Linked DNA regions of Oreochromis niloticus. The protein of the gene in region 1 purifies or fractionates together with the protein of each later gene. This does not show direct contact. Links are inferred from orthologs where the notes say so. Each region holds a gene or a part of one and is shown on either strand. Other genes may lie near its edges.

Region 1 (11,444 bases):
GGTAGCGAAGCGTGGCGAGAGCATGTTCATGATCCTGGAACTGAACAAAGCCATAGCCTAACGATTGTCCCATCACTTGACCCTTCTCGGGCTTCTTGTCGTAGATGACTCGGCACTAAAAAGGGAAACAGTTGGTTTCACACACAAACAGCGTGAGAAAAAAAATTACCACAACACCCCCTGCTGGGCACAGAACATTTTTTTCCTCACAAAACTGTGACAAAATAACAATCTACGTCAAGCCCAATGGTGTAGTCTCACCTCTGTGATGCGAACTCCCTTTACTCCTTTCACAGCTTGAAGGCAGAGTGATTTGAGTTTTTTGCTGTCCACTGACTTCGGCAGGTTGTGCACACACAGGCGAGTCTTTGACACAAACACATTTATGTCCCGAAGCTTGGCCCTCTTTATTTCTTCAAACTAAGAAAGAAAAAAAGGCAACAGCAAATAATGACTCAAAATGGAAGCAATTAGAAAGACCAAGTGAAAGATTGATTATTATACAACAGAAATCATCCTGCGAGTGGAACTGTTTATGAAAAACGTACTTACTCTGGTTCTTTTGACCATGTCTGTCTCAGGTACACCCTCAGCAGCTTTGGTTCCTGGACGAATCACTGAAAGTTGAGGTGAAAGACAATAACATTCAAAAGCAATTTAGCTACATGGAGCCAGTGCAAATTCCTTTCATGCCCTCTAAAGCCTCCTTTGGGCTGTCCCACAGGAAAGATAACAAGCTAAAGAAAACACTGTGATGATGTCTTTCGCTGTAGCTTCAAAACAATAGTTCGACAACACAGTTCGTCAACCAAGGATATCCATCTATCCATTCTCTTTTTGCTTATCCAGGGGTGGAGCCTCCCAGCTACCATAAGGCGAGAGGCGGGGTGCATGGTACAGGTCGCCACACCTCTTGTTTTCTTGTAACTTTGTGTGCTGCACCACAACTGTCGCAGCTGGGTTGAAGACATGACTGTATAATTGTGCCAATTTTTACCTCCACTTTAATGATCCTGTACACAAGCTCAGAGACATACTGACACACAGAGGGAGATGCTGCAACTGTTTGAAAACTTCAGAGTTTGTGGAAAGAACCCTTGACAAAGTCTTGGCTTCCTGTTTTGACTTATAACTGAGTGGCGACACCCATCGTTTAGGAGAACACTGCAGCGGCTTTTTGCACCTTAACTGCAGGTATAAATGACTGCATCTAAGTGATGACAGCGCGGCAGTAAGCAAACCGACCACTGCGAAGGGTTTATGGGCACTTTAACACAGCAAGACAGACGACCATTCACACTCAATCACCAGTTAACCTCACCACCTTTTAGTGCATGTCTTTGGCCCCGGCCAGAGACTGATTTTGAATCCAGGTCCGTCTTGCTGTGAGACAACAGTGCTAACCACCGTGTTGTACTAAGCACCAAAAACAACCTGGACCAAAATTCAAACCTGCTGCTAAAACCTACACTTTAGGTGCATCAGAAATGTGGTTTCAGTGATTTTTAAATGAGGCATGGTTGTTAGAGCCAGATGGGCTAGTCTGTATGTTTCAGAAACTGCTGCTCTAGCACCTTTGGGATGTGGTGGAACAGGAGATTCCCATCATGGATGTGAAACTGACAAATCTGCATAACGGCGTGATGCTATCATGTCAATATGAAACAAAATCTCTGAGAAATGTTTCCAGCACTTTGTTGAATCTGTGCCATGAAGAATTAAAGCAGTTCCGAAGGCAAAAGGAGGTCTGACCTGGTACTAGCAAGGTGTAACTAATGAAGTGGCCACATAACATATATATATTCACCAACCAACAGGAATTGTGTCTTTGAGTTTTCATGCATAAGATGATGGAAGTGAAGTCACAGACTTCAATAATGTTCAAAATTAAAGGATTGCTTACTGAAGCTGCACATAAGATAAATGTTTACTCACATCCCTCTCTGGCCAGGTACAGGTTCCTCGTGCCTGTTTCGACCTTCTTTTTATCGACTTTCAGCTTCACGGCATCTTCTCTGCTCACTGCTGCAACAATCATCAGCTTTCTGCCATGTATACGGATACCACTATCCTGCATCAAACATACAAATGTTTTCAAGGCTTGTCTACAACAAGGGTTATTACACAAAAAAGAGACTCAAGTGATGCTATAAAAGGGTGAATACACGAGACAATTTGTAATAATAGTGTTCAAACATCAGTTGGACAAGTGACAGATTAGTAAAAATATTTTGCTTCAAGTTAATAACATTTAAATTACCCTCCATGTAGCTTGACAAAAAATAATTAGAAAAATTATTTATTAGTAGTTATTATCAGTTAATATATTGAATAAAAATACATAGATATACACTGACCACTCAGAGCTATCAATGTGTTGTTTAAATTCTGCCCATGCTGTTTCCACATTCCAATTTAAAACATCAACATTAAAAGGCCAAATCCCCAAGAAGTGGGTCCATCTAAACAGCGTGTGATTGCACAATAATTCAAATATCATGTACATTACACTTGATTACATATTACCTCTGCCTCATCCTGTGCTGCAGCTATGCATTTATCTGCAGCCTCTTTAGTCTTAAACTGAGCAAAGGCACAACCTGCCAACAATAACACAGAAGAGTAAGTGAACTGGTTCTCTCCAAACAACTAATAGACACAAGTGTCTTTCTTAAGGACTTTCAAGGACTGTCAACCGACCTTTTGAATGTTCTGTATCTGGGTGGAGAACAATCTTTATGTAATTAAGTTCTCCAAACTGAAGGAGAACTTCCTCTAAGTCTTCTTCCTCCGTGTCAAATGACAGGTTCCTAAATCAGTTTAGATGTAGGTGTTAAGAAAAAAGAAACAGGTCTCAAAGAGAGTTTGAGGATGTAAGAATAACAAGAAAACAAATGAGCCACAGTAAAATAAACCAAAGCTGGCTCAGGACCGAGTAGGAGGAATAATCACTGACCTGATGAAAACCGTTCTGCCCTCTTTCACATCTGAAGGAAGCTGTTTTTTCGAGGTCTTTTTCTGAGCTACGGATAACAGCCAAATACAGAATGTATGAAAACAACTTTAAAGGAAAGGAAATATTAAATATGTTATATTAAATATTTATTTATACTATCCATACCTAATTTATCTTCTTCATCCTCTTCATCATCCTCTTCATCCATACTGCCATCATCATGATCTGAATCAAGGCTATCTCCATCATCATCATCATCATCATCCTCCTCCTCCTCCTCCTCCTCTTCCCTATCATCATCATCCTCCTGTTCCTCCTCATCTTTTTCATCATCAGAATCACTCACTTCACTGCTTTGTTCACTCCCATCTTCATTACCTGATTCAAATTCCTCCGTATGCTTCACAGCTGATTTTGAACTGACACTGTGGACAGATGTGGAGCAAAAATAACCAGTGTAGTCAATCACCTTTTAACACTCATGGCAATATAAACAGAGGAATGCATGTTTGAGGTTCATACTTTTTCTTCTCAGGTGGAGCTTTCTTCTTTTTTTCATCCTCATCATCAGTGTCGCTGTCAGTGTTAGCATTTGCTTCTTCTGGATTTGTACTGGCTATGAAGCAAAAAAAAAAAAATTGTTAATGACAACAAGCTTTATATCTTGTGGAACTGGAGCACACAAAGTATTTTTGTCATTTAACTACCTGAATTTGAGGACTGCTGTGTAGTAACAAACTTGTCCTTTGGTACAGCCCAGTCAATTGCTACTGGTCGGCCTGGAGATTAAATGCCAACATTTGAAAAAAAGGAAATGTCACAGTAACAAGTCATAATGAGCTTTTTTTAAGCACACAACTCAGCGGTCTCACTCACTGACCTTTTATCTCCTTCAGGTTCATAGCATTAAGCGCTTTTGACGCCTCCGGCACCTTTTTAAAAAGGACAAATGCAAATCCACGCATCTTCCCGTCTATGAAAAAGCATAAAAATCAACCTCATAACATATCAATCCACCCCAAAGTCTGGCAATACTTCAACATGCTCACTTATGTATACTGTGTTAAGAAACATATGTATTTACCAGGTTTGAGGGGGATTTTGACCTCAACAACTGTCCCGAACTTTGCAAATACTTCTTTCAAATGATCCTCTGTGCACTGTAACACACGGTGTGTATTAGCAAAGGTTTGTGTCAGTGTGCGCTGAGCTGTTACATTTAGTAATCATGAAACATACTGTACCTTAAAGCTGAGATTCCTTATAATGAGTCTTGCTTTCAGTAGCTTTTTCTTGGAGCCTTTCTGCTGATTCTCCTTTGGAGCAGTGCCTGCCTCTGTAGGTGCTAAATGAAATAAGTGCAAGGTTACCATGGAGACACAGACTCTCCTGATTGCCAGTTTTGGAACATGTCTTCATACGAACCTTTCTTGTTTTTGTCTTTGATTTTACTCTTGGCCACTGTCAGGGACAGCTTCTGCCCGTCGTATTCTTTAATTTCTTTTAAGGCTCGTTGTGCATCTTCCTCCATGGAATATGTGACAAAACCAAACCCCCGACATTTTTCAGTCTCTGGTTAAAAAATAAATAGAGACCACAGATATCTGTTATGTACATAAATATGTTTATGTTTGCAGGTTTAATTTAATTCTACTTTCGTACGACTTTTTCAATTACTATTCTGTATGGTTCTTTCGAATAAACGACAGTACCTTTATCTCTGACCACGAAGCATTTCTTTACCGGACCAATTTCTGAGAATATTTCTTCGAGTCGCTCATTAGAAGCTGAATCTGGTAGAGAACCAACAAATATGGTGTGCGCCGCCATGGCTAACTGCTAACTTTACGGCGTGTACACCAACTCAAAAAGTGAAATGCAGTTTAATACCAATCCACCACAGGAAGCTAATGTCTAATTTCTCGATAACACGCTTATCAGTGGCATGAATACACGCCACAGAACTGTTTAGCTTGGACGTCGTTAGCCACGGGATTAAGTCGCATGTTTACTTGTGGAAGTAGCCATCTTTGAAAAAGAACGGAAGTGTATTCGTTAGATATTCGCATTCACGTGCGCCACCTATCGTCCTGGAGGTTTCAATGTAGGAATAATATGTAAATTTAAATAAGCTGATATAAAAGTAAAATTCAGCTTCTTTTTGTGAAGTACCGTTTCTGTCTGATGTTTGTTTTCACCATTACTGAGTTTCTTGCATATACTTACTATTTACTTTAACTTCCCACAATAGCTGTTTTATTGAGGTGGTGCTTCCTGCAGAAAGCCCAAAGGGAGCGTATGATGATCCCTTAATTAATTACTTCAAGAAACAAGAAGCTATTGCGGTTACCAACCATGACAGCACAAATCCAAAACAACTGATTAAGTGATATGTTGTTGATTTTCTGTATTCCCCGTTAACCACAAGAGGCCCTTCAATAGTTTACCTATATTCTTCTGTAAATTTCAGTATTGTTTTGTTTTTATGTGATGCTTATATTACACTGGATTAATCATTTCTAGGGTCTTGTGCTGATAGTAAAGCATAACTGTAATGATAATACTGGGAGTGAGCTACATGGCTTCTGCCACCAGGTGGTGTCTTCAGTAGCTCAAATCACTTTCTAAGTACAAACTAAAAATTTACAGTAACGAAAACAGTGTAGTTTTAAGGCATTGGGCCACCTCAGTTCTCAAAGCCTGTAACTCTGCTAAAAGGATTGAATACCATTCTTCCAAAAGATATTCCTTTCTTTAGTGTCACAGTTTTAAAATCACCTTGGGCTATGACATCGTTGGAGAAGTAAGATAAGATAACCTTTATTAGTCCCACACATGGGAAATTTGTTTTGTCACAGCAAGAAGTGGACAGTGCAAAATGTTATGAAGCAAAAGTACAGCACCTACCTTACAGAAACGGATTGCATCAACCCATATCTGGAGAAAACATCACAATGACTGAATGTGCTAATTGCATTGGTCAAAGGTTCATTTCTTTACCTGCTTATCACCTGTCTCAATAGTAGAATAGCTTGAAGTCTAAATGCGGTCATCAGTTCTGAGGTTAGGTGGTTAAATGTTAAGCATAATTACCTCCTAATATAAATACATACTTTTCATTTACCCCCAGTTAGTTAAAAACTATGTTGTACACATAGTTTTAAAGAACAACTTTTGTATGTGTATCTTTTGTTAGGCAAGAGTACAGTGCTTTACAGCAAGAATAATATTGCATTTCACCGCATTGGTGCTTTAACTCCTAACCCTTCGTAATCAACTTTGACAAAAAAGGAAAAATTAAAAATTACTTGCACCGGTTCAAGTTAAGAGAAACACATCTTTATTACACAGAAGTATAACATGTTACGCTTAAACATCTTCAACTTACAAGTCAGTCATATGAAAAGTGTTAACAGAAATGACTGAATAAGATTTCTTTTCCCAATTTTAGCAGGTCACATCCTTCAAGAATATTGAGAATACAAACACCTTAGAGATAACTGTATAGTTTAACACGCACACACTTAGGCTACGTTCACACTGCAGGTCTTAATGCTCAATTCCGATTTTTTGATCAAATCCGATTTTTTTGTCTGCTTGTTCACACTACACATAAAATGCGACATCAAACGCTCTACAGTGTGAACGCTCAAAGCGGCCCGCATGCGCAAAAGAAGATGTCACACACAACTCGCTCTGTTTAGACCCAGAGCAAACAATATTGTTTGACTGATTGGCCTTAATATAAAGACTTCGGACCTTATGTTTCCAAATTTTTGCTTTAAGTTATTTTGTTATTTACATAATAATGCAAATAACCTAATAATGATCCTTTTTGCTGTTTTAGAGGAGCGGTGCTTCAAAGGATAGTTGCAGATTTCTGTCAGAATCTGCAGAAAATACAGTAAAAATAAAATGTTCACATTTCTCCAATGTGGTCTTCCCAACAGTTTCACCGGATGGCAAGAAACCGTTCGCGATGTCCTATCGGGCGCTTCTCCGGCGCTGATAATTGGCGTCTGTCTTGTGTCAGTGACGTAAAAGACGGATTTAATGCGACTTGACCGTTCACACAGCAGTCGCTTTCTAAAACATCGGATACGTATCGGATTCAGTACCACATACGAAAGTGACCCAGATCGGATTTGAAAATATCGGATTTGTGCCGTTCACACTGTCATACCAAGATCGGATACGGGTCGCATAGGGGCGAAAAAATCGGATTTGATGCGCTTTCGCCTGCAGTGTGAACGTAGCCATAGACACCGACCTAAATTAATCAAATATATACTTTCATGAAAACGTGCTGTTGTAATCACCTTAGTTCTTGTTAGACTTGGTGGTAGTAACAAGTGAGGTGCTTTTTAAGGCACTTTCAAGGCTTTGTGTAAAAATGTGTAAAAAACAAAACTTCAGCAGCAGCAGTGTCAAGTAGTATTGCATTTTCTTCTGAGTGCACACAGCATGCTGTGCTTATCAGCAGGAAATTGAAAATCAGACCAGCAGTTTAACCCTGAAGCTCAATCACATGCATCAACTGTTTTTTTAAAGCACGGAACAAGTTTCTTTACTTGTAAATTACTGCAGGAAAAGTAAATGTCCAGTTTTAATTTCAAAATCATTCAAGGGTTTTTACATCCTGAGATGAGAACATAATCAACCACCAGGAAATGTCATAGCCACTTAAAAAATCCCTTAACTGTGAGGGAAAAGGTAAAGTAGATTTCAGGTGGTTTGTGTGAGTTTTCCCTGAACATATCTTGACTGATAAAAAATTACCTTGGTGCTTGTGAAACATGAGTTAATTAGGCTTTACACATTTAAAATTTAGTAGTGTTTCACCTAAAACTATGCTAATTTCTACTCTTTTGTCTGACAAAATCTGAAAAATATGCAACAAGTGATTGTATTTAAGAAGCTGAAACCAGAGATTTGTCATTTGACTTTGAACTCTAGTTGTATCCATTAATGCAAGCACCAAAAGACATGACTCCAAACATTAGACACTAAAACATCAAGCACACATCTTGACCTGTCGTGTTTCATAAATAGAAGCACTTGGAGCTTGCATGCTTGTGGCCATTGCTGTTCACATCGTTCTTTGGACTGTTTACATTTTGTCTCAAATATTTAAAAGAAAAAAGCAAAAGGCAAAGTTCACATTTGATTTGGAAACTGTATTTTTGAGGGTCAAAGAACAGTTAGGAACTTCAATGTATAACCCTCCATTTCCAAAGACATTGAGATGTTGTGCAAAATGGAATGATGTATACTGTTTTTGAAGATATATAGTTAACTGAAAATGTCAGTAGTGACCAGTAGATTAACAATTCTGACAAACCATTATGTTGTAGTAAAATGAAGATGCCAAATTATGCTGGTTCCAGCATTTCAAATGAGAAATTTAAGTTTGGAATATTTCCTGCACTTGTCTTCCCCTCCATGATTTAGTTTAAGTTAGTAGACAGTTGCTTGCCTAAAAGAAAAGTGTCAGACTTTATATTTGTTTGTTTGCTTTGGCGTACATGAACATTGTGATCCAAAGTGCATTTTATTCTTTATATGCTTTGCTTTAGTGTTTATGAAACTGTATGAAGTAAACCCTGAGTACATGTGATCGTCATTCTGAATAAAACTGAACTGTTACTGTACCTTCATAACACACACCAATTAGTGTAAAAATTCAAGATGTACTATTACAGCCCAGCCAAAGCTTAAAACATTTGAGGTTAATGTACAGTGAAGTCAAGTTCCTCTTGCATTACATTGTTGGGATTTTACCTCATAACTTCGCCTTTAACGGGGTAAAACCAAGGGAACTGAGGAATATGCGAAGTGTGGACAGATATTCCTCTGGGTGTCTCTTAAGGTGGCCCGCGTGAATGGAATTGTCCCACTTCTTTTCTGTGACATCCATTCCACGCCCTCGCCAGTAACCGGCCAAGTCCGCCAAAGTTTGTGGGTCACACAGTGGATCATTGTTACAGTAGAACATCAGCACAGGAGCGGTGATGGGCGTATTCCAAAACACATCCAAGGATATGTCAAAGTAGTCCACGGTGTGGCTTTTAAACTTGTCAAAGTAAAACATGGCTGTTTGCTTTACCAACCACTCACATTTTGGAAATACAGTTTTTCCCAAACCTGAGAAGAAAGAAGGAAAATAATTATCAATTTTGCAAGAAAAGGAAAACAAGAATTAGATAAAGTGTGAGTTAATGGTAACTCACCTATAGCCATGTGCTCAAGGGATCCTGCCACCATGCTATCATAAATCTGCCCTGTGATCCTTTCTGTGAATGCCTGATATTTATCTGTATCTTTCGACACATGCACAAGGAGCTGAGAGAAGGTATATCCACCGATTGAAAATGCATGAACAAGCAGGGGGCGGGACACGAAGCGCTCGCTCTCCAGCAACTCCAGTAATGTCTTTCCATGTTCCAGACCCCAGCGGGGCCAAAGGAACCCTTGCACCTTTGAAAAAAAGGAGAAATTCAATCAGCCTTTCAGAAAATCATTAAAAAACATACACACACACTAAACTTTGAGTTTAAAACTGAGTGAATTCATTTTTCAAAGTAAGATCAATGCGCAACATTACAGTGCTCCCACGATGTCCTGGTGGGGTCCCCTCTACTTTTGTTTTTTTACGAGTTAAGTTTCCATTGCAATCTTAGTTAAATACAAACTTTCTTCACATTTATCTAATGCAGTTTCATTCTTATAGTGCTACTTCACAGATATAGACCTTAAAACACTTTACAGTTTAAAGAAAAGGAGCCTATAATTTGACAAACTAAACGGTGATATTATGGCAACAGTTGTGGACGAAGAACTTCCTTTTAACAAGAAGAAACTTCCAACAGAGCCAAGATCAGCGTGGGGCAGTAATCTGATCACAAAAAGGGGGGACAAAGGGAGAGAGTAGGGAAAAGGAAACGATGTACAACAGTTTCATATAAATGCATCGTGAACAGAAAAGTGGGTATTATATCATGGGAAGTCCCCAACAGCTGAGCCTACAGCAGCATAATTTTTGGATGATTCAGGGTCATCTGATCCACCCCAACTATAAGCTTTACCAAAAGGAAATTTTTAAGTCTAATCTTCAAAGTACAGGTTGTCTCTCTCAACATGGAACTGGTTCCACCGGACAGGGGCTCGATAACTTTTTAAGGCTCTGCTTTTGGTAATTCTGGGAACCACAAGCTTGCACTCAGAGCACATACTTCTAGAAAGACTATTATTCATTAGCCGCCCTGTGATGCATTTTAGTGTTAAGTGCAAGAATGAAACATTGTCATTCAGGTTCTCATTCCCGTCTCTTGCCCCACTGATTGCTAATATCGTACACTCCTCTCTTATATCTGGTTCTGTTCCTTCTTCTCTTAAAACCGCAGTAATAACTTCAATACTGAAAAAGAATGGTTCAGATCCCTCCAATCTAAATAATTTCAGGCCAATTTCAAATCTCCCTTTCCTAGCAAAAATTCTTGAAAAGATAGTGGCTGCACAGGTTCATCATCATCTCATTGGAAATAACTTGTACGAACAGTTTCAGTCCGGCTTCCGTTCATGTCACAGTACAGAAACAGCCCTAGTAAAAATCACCAATGATCTTTTGCTTGCAGCTGATTCTGGACTTATATCCATCCTCATTCTCCTTGACCTTACAGCAGCTTTTGACACTATGTCCCACCGCATCCTCCTTCACAGATTAGCATCTATTGGCATCAATAGTACAGTACTCGCCTGGTTTACTTCTTATCTCTCTGGCCGTTCACAGTTTGTTCAATTACTCCCTCACAGATCAGTATCTACTCCAGTTAATTTCGGTGTACCCCAAGGCTCTGTCCTGGGTCCTTTACTTTTTATCATCTATCTCCTACCTCTAGGTAATATTTTTAGGAAGCATAACATCCAGTTTCACTGCTACGCAGATGACACCCAGCTCTACCTATCCTCCAAACCCACAGCTACTCTCCCACCCACATCCATTTCTGACTGTTTAAGTGAAATCAAGGTCTGGTTTACTCACAACTTTCTTAAACTTAATGGCAATAAAACAGAATTCATTTTAATAGGCACCAGATCAAAACTGACTACAGTTCCAACCAGTCTTTCGTTATCCATTGATAACTCCTGTTGTCACACCCTCCCCTCAGGTTAAGAGTCTTGGTGTCATCCTCGATAGCACTCTGTCCTTCACAGCACATATAAATAATATCACTCGGTCTTCCTACTTTCATCTCCGTAATATTAACCGTCTTCGTCCCTCACTCACACCACACAGTACCACCATACTTGTCAATGCTCTTGTCACATCTCGTCTGGATTACTGTAATTCTCTTCTCTATGGTTTACCTCATAAATCCCTACATAAACTGCAGTTGGTTCAAAATACAGCTGCTCGTATTATTTCCAGAACTAGATCCACTGGACATATAACACCTGTTTTTAAACAGCTCCATTGGCTTCCAATTCA
Region 2 (11,922 bases), on another chromosome or scaffold:
ATTCAGCTGTTTGCTGTAGTATATACCGACATGTGACCACCGGGCAAAGCATGGTTACATAGTTTGAACTGTTAACATATGGAAACTGCTGCTTTATTACATTGCAACCAAAAAATATTTACATGCAGAAAACAAAAGTCATGCTACCATCTTGTGTCAACATATTAGGGCACACCAGCATCTGCTGTGCTACCTGAAGCCTTCGCACTACCTGTCAGAAACCCACAGAGAACCTAATTTAGAGCCCGGAGGCTGCAGACCGAGGGCGCGTGCTTCATTTCAATAAAGTACAGCACAGAGTGCATCGGCTCCCGGGCTGCAAATCACGCTGACACACTGCTGGCAGGCAGGGGATTTCTTACTTTATCACCATGACATAGTAAAAAAAAAAAAAAAAATCAAAATAAGGCCGGGATGGGATTACATAAGGAAATACAGGATTTGAGTAATAAATGATTTAAGATGCACATTTGGTTGCACTCACAGTAAACAGTAACGTTTGTCCTCTTTAATGGCTTTTCTGATGTTTGTCAGAGAAATGGGAAATGAACTCTCCGTAATCATGAACCAAATGTGAGGCAGCAACTCATGTCTTGACATTAACTTGCATTAAATGCAGTTTAATAAGTTTTTTATAAAAAAAAGAGTTTGCATTGCTCTGAACCTCCTGTGGTTGTATTAGACTGTGAGGACAAAGAAATATGCATAGCAGAGTTAAACGAATTACATCTTTTGTTTTATTTATACTTTAAAAACAGACATTTTTACAAACTGTATATAAAGACTCTGTTCTAATCCCTGCATGAGTCAGTCTGGCACACTGAGGAACAAAACTTCTTGATTTGCAACTCGATAAAGTCTTTCACAACCTGCAACGATCTCCCCGAGCGACTTAGGCTGATGAAACCGGTCACTATCTGCGAAAGCATTTAACACGCTTTTTGTTGCGCCAGATCTCACAAAAGCTCAGCAAGTCACGCTTTTATACAATCACAGGTTCAACATCCCTCACATTAAAATAAACAAAAATACATAGTTGTTTTTTCTTCTTAAAAGAATCCTCTGATCACTTCAGTCAGCTCTGCTCTCATCGGGAGATCATCTGTCCTCTTGCTTGCTCGTTTTGACTTTATAATCCTCAGTGGTTCTTGTCTTTGGGAAGCTTGGCCTTTCTCTCACTCCTCTTATCCAAGAATTTGTTTTTCCTGCTCGCTTTAATCTCTGCCTCCCACTGCTTTTTCACCATTGTGTACAGCCTCATGGTGGCCTGTGCGTCTTGGACCTGGAGAAAGCAACAGGCAAAGATCAGCCCAAGTGTTACTAACATTGTTGGGCAATAACACACTGGTGTTTATACAAGTTGTTTTTACATGCTGGAGTAGTGCCGAGTCAGTGATTTTAGTCCACTGTTGGATGATGACATCATGAGATCAACAATAAAGTTTTCTAGATATACAATAAATGTTAATGTCATGAAAACAAAGTGACACGATGCTTTTGTAAGATGCTACAAGTGCTAAAATGATGCAAATTGACCATTTGGGTATGTGGTTGCTAGGCAACAAGATTATATCATACTATCTTCAGGCCTTCAGGGGTCAAAGATGTACCCGTGTGTATACCTGGGCTGTTCGATATAACGATATATATCGGCTGACGATATGAAAACGTCTATCGTTTGTTTCATGGTGTCGCAAAATAAACTGTTTACGGCAATATTTTGTCATCGCTTTTATGTAGTATTAATTTGTTAAAGTTCTCTCTTTCTCTTACATTTAATATAACCACACTGCAGACGGACAAGCGACTGCTTTTATGCGTTGTCGTTAGCGACAACGACGGTAAAACCATAGCGTGGCTCCGCCGTCTGCTTGTTTATTTTCCACATAAACCTTTCACAATAAAGCTGAAGATCCTGTTGAGATTTTTCAAAATTAACTGAATCACGTGAAAGAGTATGCAGAGAGTTTATGGATGAGAAGCAAAAAAAGAGCCATTAGGTGCTAAACAATAAACCTTAGGCTCAACTTATGTCTAAAAATGTATAGTTTCATGCATCGGTCAAAACACTTGACCTCAGGTACAGGACGCCCAGCTGAAAACACTTCATGCAAATCGAGTCGCCCAAGATTCACAGAATTTACAGAAAATGTAACATTTTTGTGATATATATCGCTGTCGGGACAATAACTGTCTTATATCGGGATATGAGATTTTGGTCATATCGCACAGCCCTACACGTGTGCCAGTTTTCGGTCACTCAACCCTGATAATTTAAAAGGCTTTTCGAATGACTTACAGATGAATGTTCGCCCTCTTGGACATTCACATCGAGGATTTTTCTACAAAGGAGCTTGAGCGAGGGTCGACCGCTCTAAAACAAAAAGAAAAACGCCTTATTATCAGTTATAATTCATTCACACATTCACTGCGTAAACTGTTGAGACATTGGTGACTGCATCATACCTTTGCGATCGTCTTGAAGGGTTTATATTTCTGAGTATCTCTGATTTTCTTTTTTGGATGATCCAAGAGCAGAATCTGAAACAGGAGATAGTTTGTGGCTGCTCATAATCAGGCTAAGAAAAATATTACATTTGTTCTATTTCCGATATCACATCCATGCTACCTTTAGATCATTGTGTATGGCGTGTCCAACCACTAGTCTCCCTTCCAGGATGTTAGCAACCTCCCTCTGTACAATCTGTACATCCGCTCCTGCAGAGAGACAAACGTGGTTTAAAAAACATCAGAAACACAACATAAGAAACAAAGAGACTTTCAGTTGTTCTTTGCAACTCATTTCATTTCTCTCACCATCTTTGATGTCCTCTGGCCGGATGCCGCTGACAGCTGTCCTGTAGTCTGTTACCTTCTCTGTGGGCTTCACATATTTGTCATAGATGCACTTCCCAAACTGGTTCACAATTGACACACGTGCCAAGATGCTGTCCTCTCCATCAGGACCAACTCCCACCATCTCACAGTCAATGGCCACCGCTTTAGTGAGGCTTAAGGTGAACGACAAAGTGACAAGAAAGGAGAGACATGACAATCATCATCTTCTGTCTCAACGTAAACACCTCAATGTAAAGGCCCCAGTACACCAAACGCAAAGGTCGCTTTGCTCGCTCCAGCAAGACTATCTCACAGTCAGTCGTATTTATACCCGCCATGAAGGCGCAGGAAGCTGCTGCAGTATTCTCCTGAATGACAGGTGTCAGCAATCAGACAATATCGCCACATAAGTGCTGACACAGGAGGAGAAGTTGTCAAAATCGGAAGCCGAGACTTTGTCGAGGTTTTTTTTCCACAGTTTTTTCCACAAACTCAAGTTTTCACACTGTTCCTACATCTCCTTCTCTGTATATCTGCATGTCTCTGAGTTTTTGTGGCGGAATATCCTTAAAATGATTGTAAAAACTGATACAATCGTACACTCTCGTCTTTAACCCTTGCTCAACGCTTCAGGTTACAAAATTGAGAGGCGCATGACCGGCAGACACAGCATAATAGGGTCATACCTTTTGTGACCTAGCTCAGAATGCATCCATCCATTCATCCATCAGGGGTCACAGGTTTTTCCACAGCATTTATCTGTATTATCAATGATTTTCCACAGCAATGTAGTGAGCTCTGAAGCTGTATTGACAGGCTACGTCACCGCAGTGAAGGATTTAATTGTATAAATTCCATTCAACAATTTATCCATCTCCATAACCCGCAGAAAACAGTCAGCAACCATGTTTACTTCATGCTCTGTCCAGACAATTCACTAAAACATGCAATGGCAAAAGTATTTATCACAGACTATATGTAATACTTGACTCCTTGAAGGAAAGCTCCATGAAGCTCTCCACTGAGGGGGAAAAAAACAGTCTCCATCTCCTCAGGAGTGTAGCTCAACTTCATACAGAAGGAGTCCCTAAAATAATTGGATGTCTGATCTTTGACAGCAGATCCAGAGAACTGTAGAAGGTGGGGGGGGGATTGATCATTTACTTTGAGCTTCTTATGCATGAGGCACATAATGTTGTTTAAACAGGCCGAGTCAGTTGAGCGGTTTCAGAGATATTAAAGTCTATATGTTGGGAAAAACACATTTTGTGTGACATTTCCCAAGTATGACATCATGTGCCAAATCCACATTGTTAATATTACATCCACAGTTACTCACAGCCAGCTAATAACACCACGGCAGCAACATTCCTGTGAAATACTTGTATTGAGAGAAGTAATGACATTAGGGACTTGATATTTTTTATAATCGCTGTTAAGGCGTGCATCTTTCCCCGGGAATATTTTCACGCACTTTTCTAAAATGGCATCAAAGCTGCCCGCTGTATTCTGAGTGTGGTTCTCACTGTACACTGAATGCACAGCGACTTACCCTTCAAAAGCATTCTCCTTAACCAGGCTCTTCTCCGTGTCCTTAGCCGAGGCACCATCCGTACCCTTGGCCTTGCCCTGCTTCTTCCTCATGATCTCGGCTGCTTCTGCTCCCATTGTCGCCTCAATGTCATCCGGGTCCACGTCATCAAACCAAAGGTCCTCTCTGCAACAGCAGAGAATGAGATGGGATTATCAGACAAAAATATTCTTGCTGAATAAATGAGTCAACTTCAGTGCTAATATATACATACTCTGTGGGCTTTGTCTCCTCGGATTCAAGCTTCTTCTTCTTAGCTGCCTGTAGGCTGTTTGGCTTCCCGCTATCCCGCTCTCTTTTTGGAGCAGTAGCATGTTTAGTCTTCGAGACATCCAACACCTTTGAGTTGACCCCAGTCTTACCGGAGACAAAACTCTTAGGCACAGTTTTGTGATCCGCTTTTTTCTCAGTGTCTCTCTGGCTTGGTCCAGCATTGTTCTTAGAAATTATTTTAGAAGTATTTTCTTGGACCTTCTTTGGCAAGAAGCCGTTCTGATGTTTCGGTGCCACTGGCTGCTTCTTCTCTGACTGACTGGCCTTCAACACCTGAAGGGAGGAAAATAAGGGAGAAAAACCTGTGGGTAGTATTAAACACAGGCACACAAAAACCAAATTGTGTGACAGGACATGCATGGATATCAAACTACTGCACTCACTGACCTCTTGAAGTGCTTTCCAGTTGGCAGAGAACTGCTGGGAGTCTTTTGGAGGAGCAGTTTGTGGAGCTGTAGGCTTTTCTTGCTCCTTGTTTGCAGGAGCTGAGTAAAACCACTGCCTCTCGTTCTTTTTTAATATGCCGTTTTTCTTATTAGGTTTCCGCTTACGTGCTTTAGCGGGAAACTGTTTTTTCTGTTTCTCCACCTTAGACATTATGATCACCTATCTCATGTATCCTCACCTCCTTATATTTTTCGTGGTGAGGTGTGTAAAGCCACGCTGGCTTGTCAGATGTCCGTTACTTGAGTTGCCAAACAACTTCAGACAGTAAGAAATGTCTCCCCCAGACTAAGCTCACCTTTCGGCCAGCACACGAGCATTACTGAAGCACGTCCCTGAACTGTACATAAAATCGCTTACTCGTAAAACTTAACTCTCTCCGAAGCCATGCCGTTGAGTGTTTTTCCACGATGTGCAACAGTGAAATATGTCCGTCACAAACATGACGTCGTGCTGTAGCTCAAGTGCGTCACGTCAGTAAGATGTGAAAAAAAAATCTCCGACCGTGCTTTTGCTTTACAATTATATAAATGTGAAATTTTATATGATAAACGTAAAAAAGTCATGTTTTGACGCTTGTTTTGTGAGCGATTCAATGGCGGAACTAATGTTTTAGAAAAAGTTTCGCATCGTTCTGAGGAAAAGTGACGGACCGTTGCGGAAGGCTTCATAGCACTAATGTAAAAAAGGCACAGTGGGTTTTGATAGACGTGTTAAACCCATTTTGTATTGCTTTTGATAATCATCAGGCATATAATTAACGTGGTAATTAATGTTAAAAATCTGAGTAAAGTTAGGGTTTAAAGGAGCAAAGAAAAAACGTATTTCCAGGTATGTAACTTCTCTTTGGGGCCTGAATGTTTTATTGCTGTCTCGTTGCTCTCCCACACCTTTCTGTCTGTGTTTTGGTTGTAGATCATGGTGGAAAACTCTCCATCTCCTCTGCCTGAGAGGGCCATTTATGGGTTTGTTCTCTTCCTCGGATCACAGTTTGGCTTCTGTAAGTGAATCAATCCAAAACACAAACAGGAGTTCAAGCAGTGCATGTCTGTAATACTCACTGCGTCTCTCCACAGTTCTGTATTGCTTATGGGCTTTCGTGCCAGAGGAGTGGCTTCATTCAATAGGGCTCACTTACTGGCCTCAAAAGTAAGTAGAACTGCTCTGAGATAAATGGATCACTGGGGAAGCACCTGCACAGTTTCACGACAGTGTCAAATGTGTGTTCTGTTTAGATACTGGGCTCTTGCGATGCCAATCTACTTGCTGGTCGCAATAACAGTCTGTTTCATACTGTTATTCGGTGTGAACATGCGCAACACGGCACCGCTGGACTCTGTGGACAACATCACAGGTGAGGACGTCAACAAAATGTTTTGTTGATGTCAGAGATTGTTGTGTGGGGGAAATCCCAGCAGATTACCAGCTTCTGAAATATTCGGACCAGCCCGTCTGCCACCAACAGCCATGCCACATTTTCAGAATTTCCTGATTGTTAAATGTCTTTTTTCTGTCACAGATGTGTATGCACAAGGCCAGAGCACCGAGTCCTGCCGTAACGGTGGAATACCCCGATTGAAGGATGTGTCCATTAGTGAAGTCAACAAAATGTTCTATTTATCACCCAGTATGTAACAAGCACAGTCTGATACTGCTGTGGACAGAGAAGAAGTAAAGCTGCAGGGGTTTTATTTTGGTGTTACTGTTTGTCTTTTTTTATGAAATGTTTTGTGCCTTATTTATAAGAAGATATATTCTGTTGACTTTTTTATTGTTTAAGCATCTTTATAATGGTTAAATGTGAATTCTGTATCCGAACACACTGGTCACAATAAGATGTATATTGAATGAAAACAACAGTAAATGGCTGTGCTGTCTATGTTAAAATACAGAATGTTTATATTTATTATTCTGTGCAATAAACATGTCATAAATAATCATATTTTTATGTTAATTCTTTTATTTTTAAGTCCACTGCTAGAAGAAAGGAACATCTTATTTTGTTCTAATACTTTAATGCCTGTCAGAAATGTCGGTCTAGAATAAAAGTGGCTCCAGATAATTATTTATGCCCATCCAAATCTTACTAAAGCTGCAAATGAACATCTGCACTTGATTATCCCAGAGAATAAGAGGTAGTTTTTAGCATTTTATCCCACACTACATTTTTGGTTTTTGGTCACCAGCCACTTTATTAGGTACACCTGTTTAACTGCTTGTTAACACAAATATCTAATATCTGAAACTCAGTGCATTTAGTTATGTAGACATGGTCAAGACGGTGTGTAATTTTAGTGACTTTCAACGTTATGGTTGTTGATGACATATGGGCTGGTCTGTGTATTTCAGAAACCGCTGATCTGCTGGGATTTTTCCACACAACTGGTTTACACATTGTGAACTGCAGTCTTTTTCAAATGTTTTTTATTGCTGTCCACTAGGTGGCGATAACGGATCGCTTTAGCTTAAACGTTAAACAAAGACGAGGCAACCAGGAGATTTGTTGTTGCGCTTTAATCAGCCTGCATAACCGGAATAAGATTACGAAACTGGGCGAGTGTCCGCATAATCCTGCAATATATAACAACACAGATGTCGAAACAGGGACACAAGTGAACAGCAGAGGGCAGCAGCACGCCGCCCAGCGTCCAGTCTGCCAAGCCAAAGGAGAAGAAGACGTTGTTTGGGAACGATTTCGGGCACGCCGTGGGGGATCTTTGCTTGTTTAAATACATCGGAGTAAAAACTAATGGCTTTCGCCGTGCCTGTCTGGCTTGCGGTCCAGGAGGAGCTCCTGGCACAAAACGAGGCAGACTACGGAGCTTCGAGCTGCTTTGACACTTTCGACGATGAAGCTCTTTTTCAGTTGTTCCACCTGAGCAGACCCTGCATCCTGTTTATCGCAGACGCCGTCCGCATCCGCATGAAGGACGCCGCCCCCAAGAAATCCCAGCTGCCCGTGGACGAGATGGTCATGGTGGCGCTCAATTATTACGCACATGGGGTCTCCACCACTGCTGTGCTGCAGAAAGCCGGACTGAGGCAGACGGAGTGCCCCACGACTGTGGTTGGTACAATCTCGGGAGTCATAGCAGGGATGTCCGATGTATTCATCTCTTTCCCGCTAACCCTGGACGCCAGAACTAACGTCGCATTAAAGATAGAGAAATTCTGCGGAATCCCAAACGTGCTGGGCGTCCTGGCTCCTGCGCACTTCAAGATCAGAGCATCTCCATATGAAAAAGACGCCTTCAGGTCTTTTATCAATGCCCTGGGTTACACATCGGTTGTAAGCCAGATCATATGCGACTGCGACGGCAACATACTGAGTGTTGAAAAGTGCTGTGTTGGTGGCACGTTTGAGCAAGAGATGTGGGACTCCTCCTTTAAAGGAAGGGAAATGCAAGAGGACCTGCACAGCCCGTTTTGGTTGATTGGTAAGAGCAGTGATGACCTCTTGTGCAAATGTTTATTTAGAAATGTAAACTGGAGTGACAGCACAGTGAGGTATCAAGTCAAGCATAAAAACCTACAAAACTATCATCCGTTTGCGTCTGATGACGACTGGTTGCCTAGCAATAAGAAGCCGCCCAGGAAGACCCCACCCCATCATCTAAACTATCTGAAATTCTGCACTTCCCCTACATGGGTCACCCAGCAATAACCCTTCCAGAAAGGTGTAAAGATCCCTTGATTAAGTAGAGGTGTATGAGGGGATGCAAAGATACAGATATAAGTTAAGGCAATGAATGCAAAACAGTTATTCCCAAAAAGAACGGATCTGCTCTTTAGTGTTTCTATTCCCAGAAAAAGGCAAAATTGACAGTTGTCAAAAGTATTAACTTCTTGGCAAACAGTTGATTTCTCTGGAATATTTCATTCTTTTTACATAAAACACAAATAAAATAGTGTTTTAACTTCTTACACATAAACTTACTGGACATGTTATTAATGCATTATTACGTTATTATTCATGGCCTAGATTCAACAGGGTGATGGAAAATTTCGTCACAGATTTTGGTCAATGTTTCTTGATTCATATCAGATTGCTGCAGATTTGTCAGCTGCACATCCATAATGGGAATCTCCCTGATCACCACATCCCATTCTTCTGTCGTCCAGTTTCGATGAGCCAGTGCAAACTGTGACCTCAGTTTCCTGTTTTTAGCTGACAGCTGTTGCACCCATTGTGGTCTTCTGCTGTAGTAGCCCATTGGCTTCAGGTGTTGTCACAGATGACCTTCTGCATACCTCAATTGTGGTTACTTTTGCCTTCCTATCAGATCAAAGGAGTCTGGCCATTTTTCTCTGACCTCTAACATTATAAGCTGTTTTCTGCCAGGGAACTGCTGCTCACTGGATATTTTCTTTTTCCTACCATTATATGTAACTCCAGCGCTTGTGTGAGGAAATCCCAGCAGACAGTTGTGAAATACTTAGACCAGCCCATCTAGCATTAACATCTCACATTCAAAGTTCTTTCTTCCTCACTGTGATTCTCACTTTGAGTTGTGGAGGCCATTTCAGTACAGGAAACTCATTTTCATGCTCAAGAAACCCGTTTTACATGAATTGAGCTTTGTGACATGGCGACTATCTTGTCTAAAGGAGTCAGTAGAAGATTGGTACACTGTGGTCATAAAGGGATGGACATAGTCAGCATCAATACTCAGATAGGCTCTGGCATTTAGATGATTCTCAGTTTGTAATCAGGGATCAAAGTATTCCAAGAATGGCTATTGCCTAATTTTAGTGAGCCCATGCAAACTGAAGCCTCAGTTTCTTGTTCTTAGAATGAGCTCTCACTAGAGTGGCACCTGTGTGGTCTTCTGCTGCTATAGCCATTCTGCTTCAGGGGTCCACATTGTTCAGAGATGCTATCCTGCTCTGATATTCACTGCATTCTCTTATGTTTCATTTAAAGGTGGGAAAGGCTACCACTTAAGCAAGCACGTCTTGACTCCTGTATCACTGCCCGCGAACAACAACGAGATCCGCTTCAACGAGGCCCATGCAAAGATCCTCGATGTCATGCAGACGACACTGGATTCCATGAAAAGGCGTTTCAGGTGTCTGATGCAACTTGGTTTTGCACAAGAAGGCTCACTTAACAAACAGTCTAACATTATCAAAGCATGCAGTGTGCTGCACAACATTGCTAAAAAGTTCTCTGTCCCTCCCCCACCTGACGCTGGTAAAGCTGAGCCGCTATATCCTGGCAAGCAGCAGTCAGTGCCAGTAGAGATCAAACAGGAGGCCCTCAAAGCCAGACAGGAAGTTATTAATAGTAAATTCTCTACTGTGTCCAGCAGTCAGGACCCCTCAGGTAGCAACGTCACAGAAGAAGATGCATAAATGGTTGTTTCTGGTCTATGAAAGAGGATCAATGACACACTGAAACCAAAACTCAGCTTTTATATTTCTGTGAATGTGAAATATTATATTTCTTTTGTTTTGTACTTATTTTTAATAAATTCATTTTTGAAACATTTTCAATTCATCAGTGCTATTTTCTCACATAAAAACAATGACAACAAAAATAATAATATTACATATTTAGAAGAGATGCAAACTAAATAAGATCTGAAGTGTGCAATGCATATACAGAAATAGTTAAGATATAATAGTTTGTATTATTAAGTTTAAAACCAACATATTGCTTATAGACAAATAGTTTTTCATTAAGTGCATAAAAGATTGAGTGCAGGGTTGACACTACGCATTTCCGTTTTGCCGACGGAGCTCTTGGAGGGCAGTGGCATTGACGTATATCATATCTGCGTTCTCGTACGTGTTCTCATAAATGTTCTCTTCATTTGTGTTTTTTGGTTGCAGACTGTCCATGATGCACTGGTGCAGAAAAACGTACTGAGACTGAAAAGGAAATACCAGAAGTTGTTGGTCATTTGAAATGCAGAACTTCTGCCAGGGGAGATTATGATAGTTTCTTGCAGGCAACATTGCCAAACAGTTTCACAATAAAGCATTTCATTTTTTTTTTAATCAGAAACAAAAAGGTCCAATAAGGCTTTGTTTTATGAAAACAAATTTTCAGCTCACATACTTAAAAATATGTAGACATAGACCCTTAGAGATTGTTTTGCTGTCTAAATTACTAAGTAACAAGTGCAATTAACAAACTGGGCATTAAATATATTTTAAGCAGGCATCTGTTGATAATACCTACAAAGTCTGCCTTGTTCTGAAAAGTTGAACAATAGAAAAAATCCTTTTCAAACTCATATTTTAGGATGAAAGGATCAAAAATGAGGACCCCAATTAAAAAAACAAAAACAAAACTGCATATCTTATGATGACTAAAATGCTGTCTGTGTGTTGTTTCACCAGCTGTAACTATAAAGACATACATGGTTAGCTAATTAAGGAAGTGGTGGCTCAATCAGAAGCAGTTTAATACAGTTACCTCCGTCTGCACCATGTATGGTCGGTTCAGTCTCATCTTGTGTACGAAGGCATTGATGCCGACTGCTTGTTCTTTCTCCAGCTGCTGAAGCAGCACATCCAGGGAAATGATAGTGCCAGTTCTCCCGACTCCAGCACTAAGAGAGACACAAGCATCATAATAAGATAGCAAAAGGTTTTTAAGGTCACATAGAAAACTCTCATCACTGTGTCTGTGCCAAAGTTATTATAGTTAACAAAAACTAAACTAGAACATACAACTAGATGTGAAAACTGTTAAAATGAAGAATTGGACTTTTGAAAAAAGCGAAAAACTATCATGTGCAATACTGTTCCTCCCTATTGAGGAAATG

Evidence for each region.
Region 2: the proteins of rbm28 (region 1) and rexo4 purify together in Homo sapiens (affinity purification with mass spectrometry; 3 studies listed by BioGRID and IntAct, with this or other methods). This does not show direct contact. The link is inferred for Oreochromis niloticus from reciprocal best matches to the Homo sapiens genes RBM28 and REXO4.

Annotation. Positions count from the first base shown.
Region 1 is NC_031972.2:55,355,975-55,367,418, forward strand, and holds the start of rbm28 (RNA-binding protein 28), read right to left. Parts: upstream 5,002-11,444; 5' UTR 4,787-5,001; coding exon 4,669-4,786; intron 4,529-4,668; coding exon 4,382-4,528; intron 4,302-4,381; coding exon 4,201-4,301; intron 4,117-4,200; coding exon 4,041-4,116; intron 3,930-4,040; coding exon 3,837-3,929; intron 3,736-3,836; coding exon 3,664-3,735; intron 3,573-3,663; coding exon 3,479-3,572; intron 3,382-3,478; coding exon 3,122-3,381; intron 3,024-3,121; coding exon 2,957-3,023; intron 2,811-2,956; coding exon 2,701-2,810; intron 2,601-2,700; coding exon 2,527-2,600; intron 2,072-2,526; coding exon 1,936-2,071; intron 618-1,935; coding exon 553-617; intron 421-552; coding exon 262-420; intron 116-261; coding exon 1-115. Other genes in the region: uncharacterized protein si:dkey-5i3.5, read right to left, coding at 8,739-9,100, 9,187-9,433. UniProt on the Homo sapiens protein: Nucleolar component of the spliceosomal ribonucleoprotein complexes.
Region 2 is NC_031973.2:18,111,591-18,123,512, reverse strand, and holds rexo4 (RNA exonuclease 4), read right to left. Parts: upstream 5,564-11,922; 5' UTR 5,300-5,563; coding exon 5,090-5,299; intron 4,976-5,089; coding exon 4,644-4,975; intron 4,556-4,643; coding exon 4,391-4,555; intron 3,012-4,390; coding exon 2,818-3,011; intron 2,719-2,817; coding exon 2,630-2,718; intron 2,542-2,629; coding exon 2,467-2,541; intron 2,375-2,466; coding exon 2,300-2,374; intron 1,283-2,299; coding exon 1,139-1,282; 3' UTR 719-1,138; downstream 1-718. Other genes in the region: pigp (phosphatidylinositol N-acetylglucosaminyltransferase subunit P), read left to right, coding at 6,065-6,146, 6,223-6,295, 6,382-6,500, 6,666-6,781; si:dkey-197c15.6 (putative nuclease HARBI1), read left to right, coding at 7,896-8,583, 10,071-10,501; receptor-type tyrosine-protein phosphatase H, read right to left, coding at 10,862-11,020, 11,571-11,706.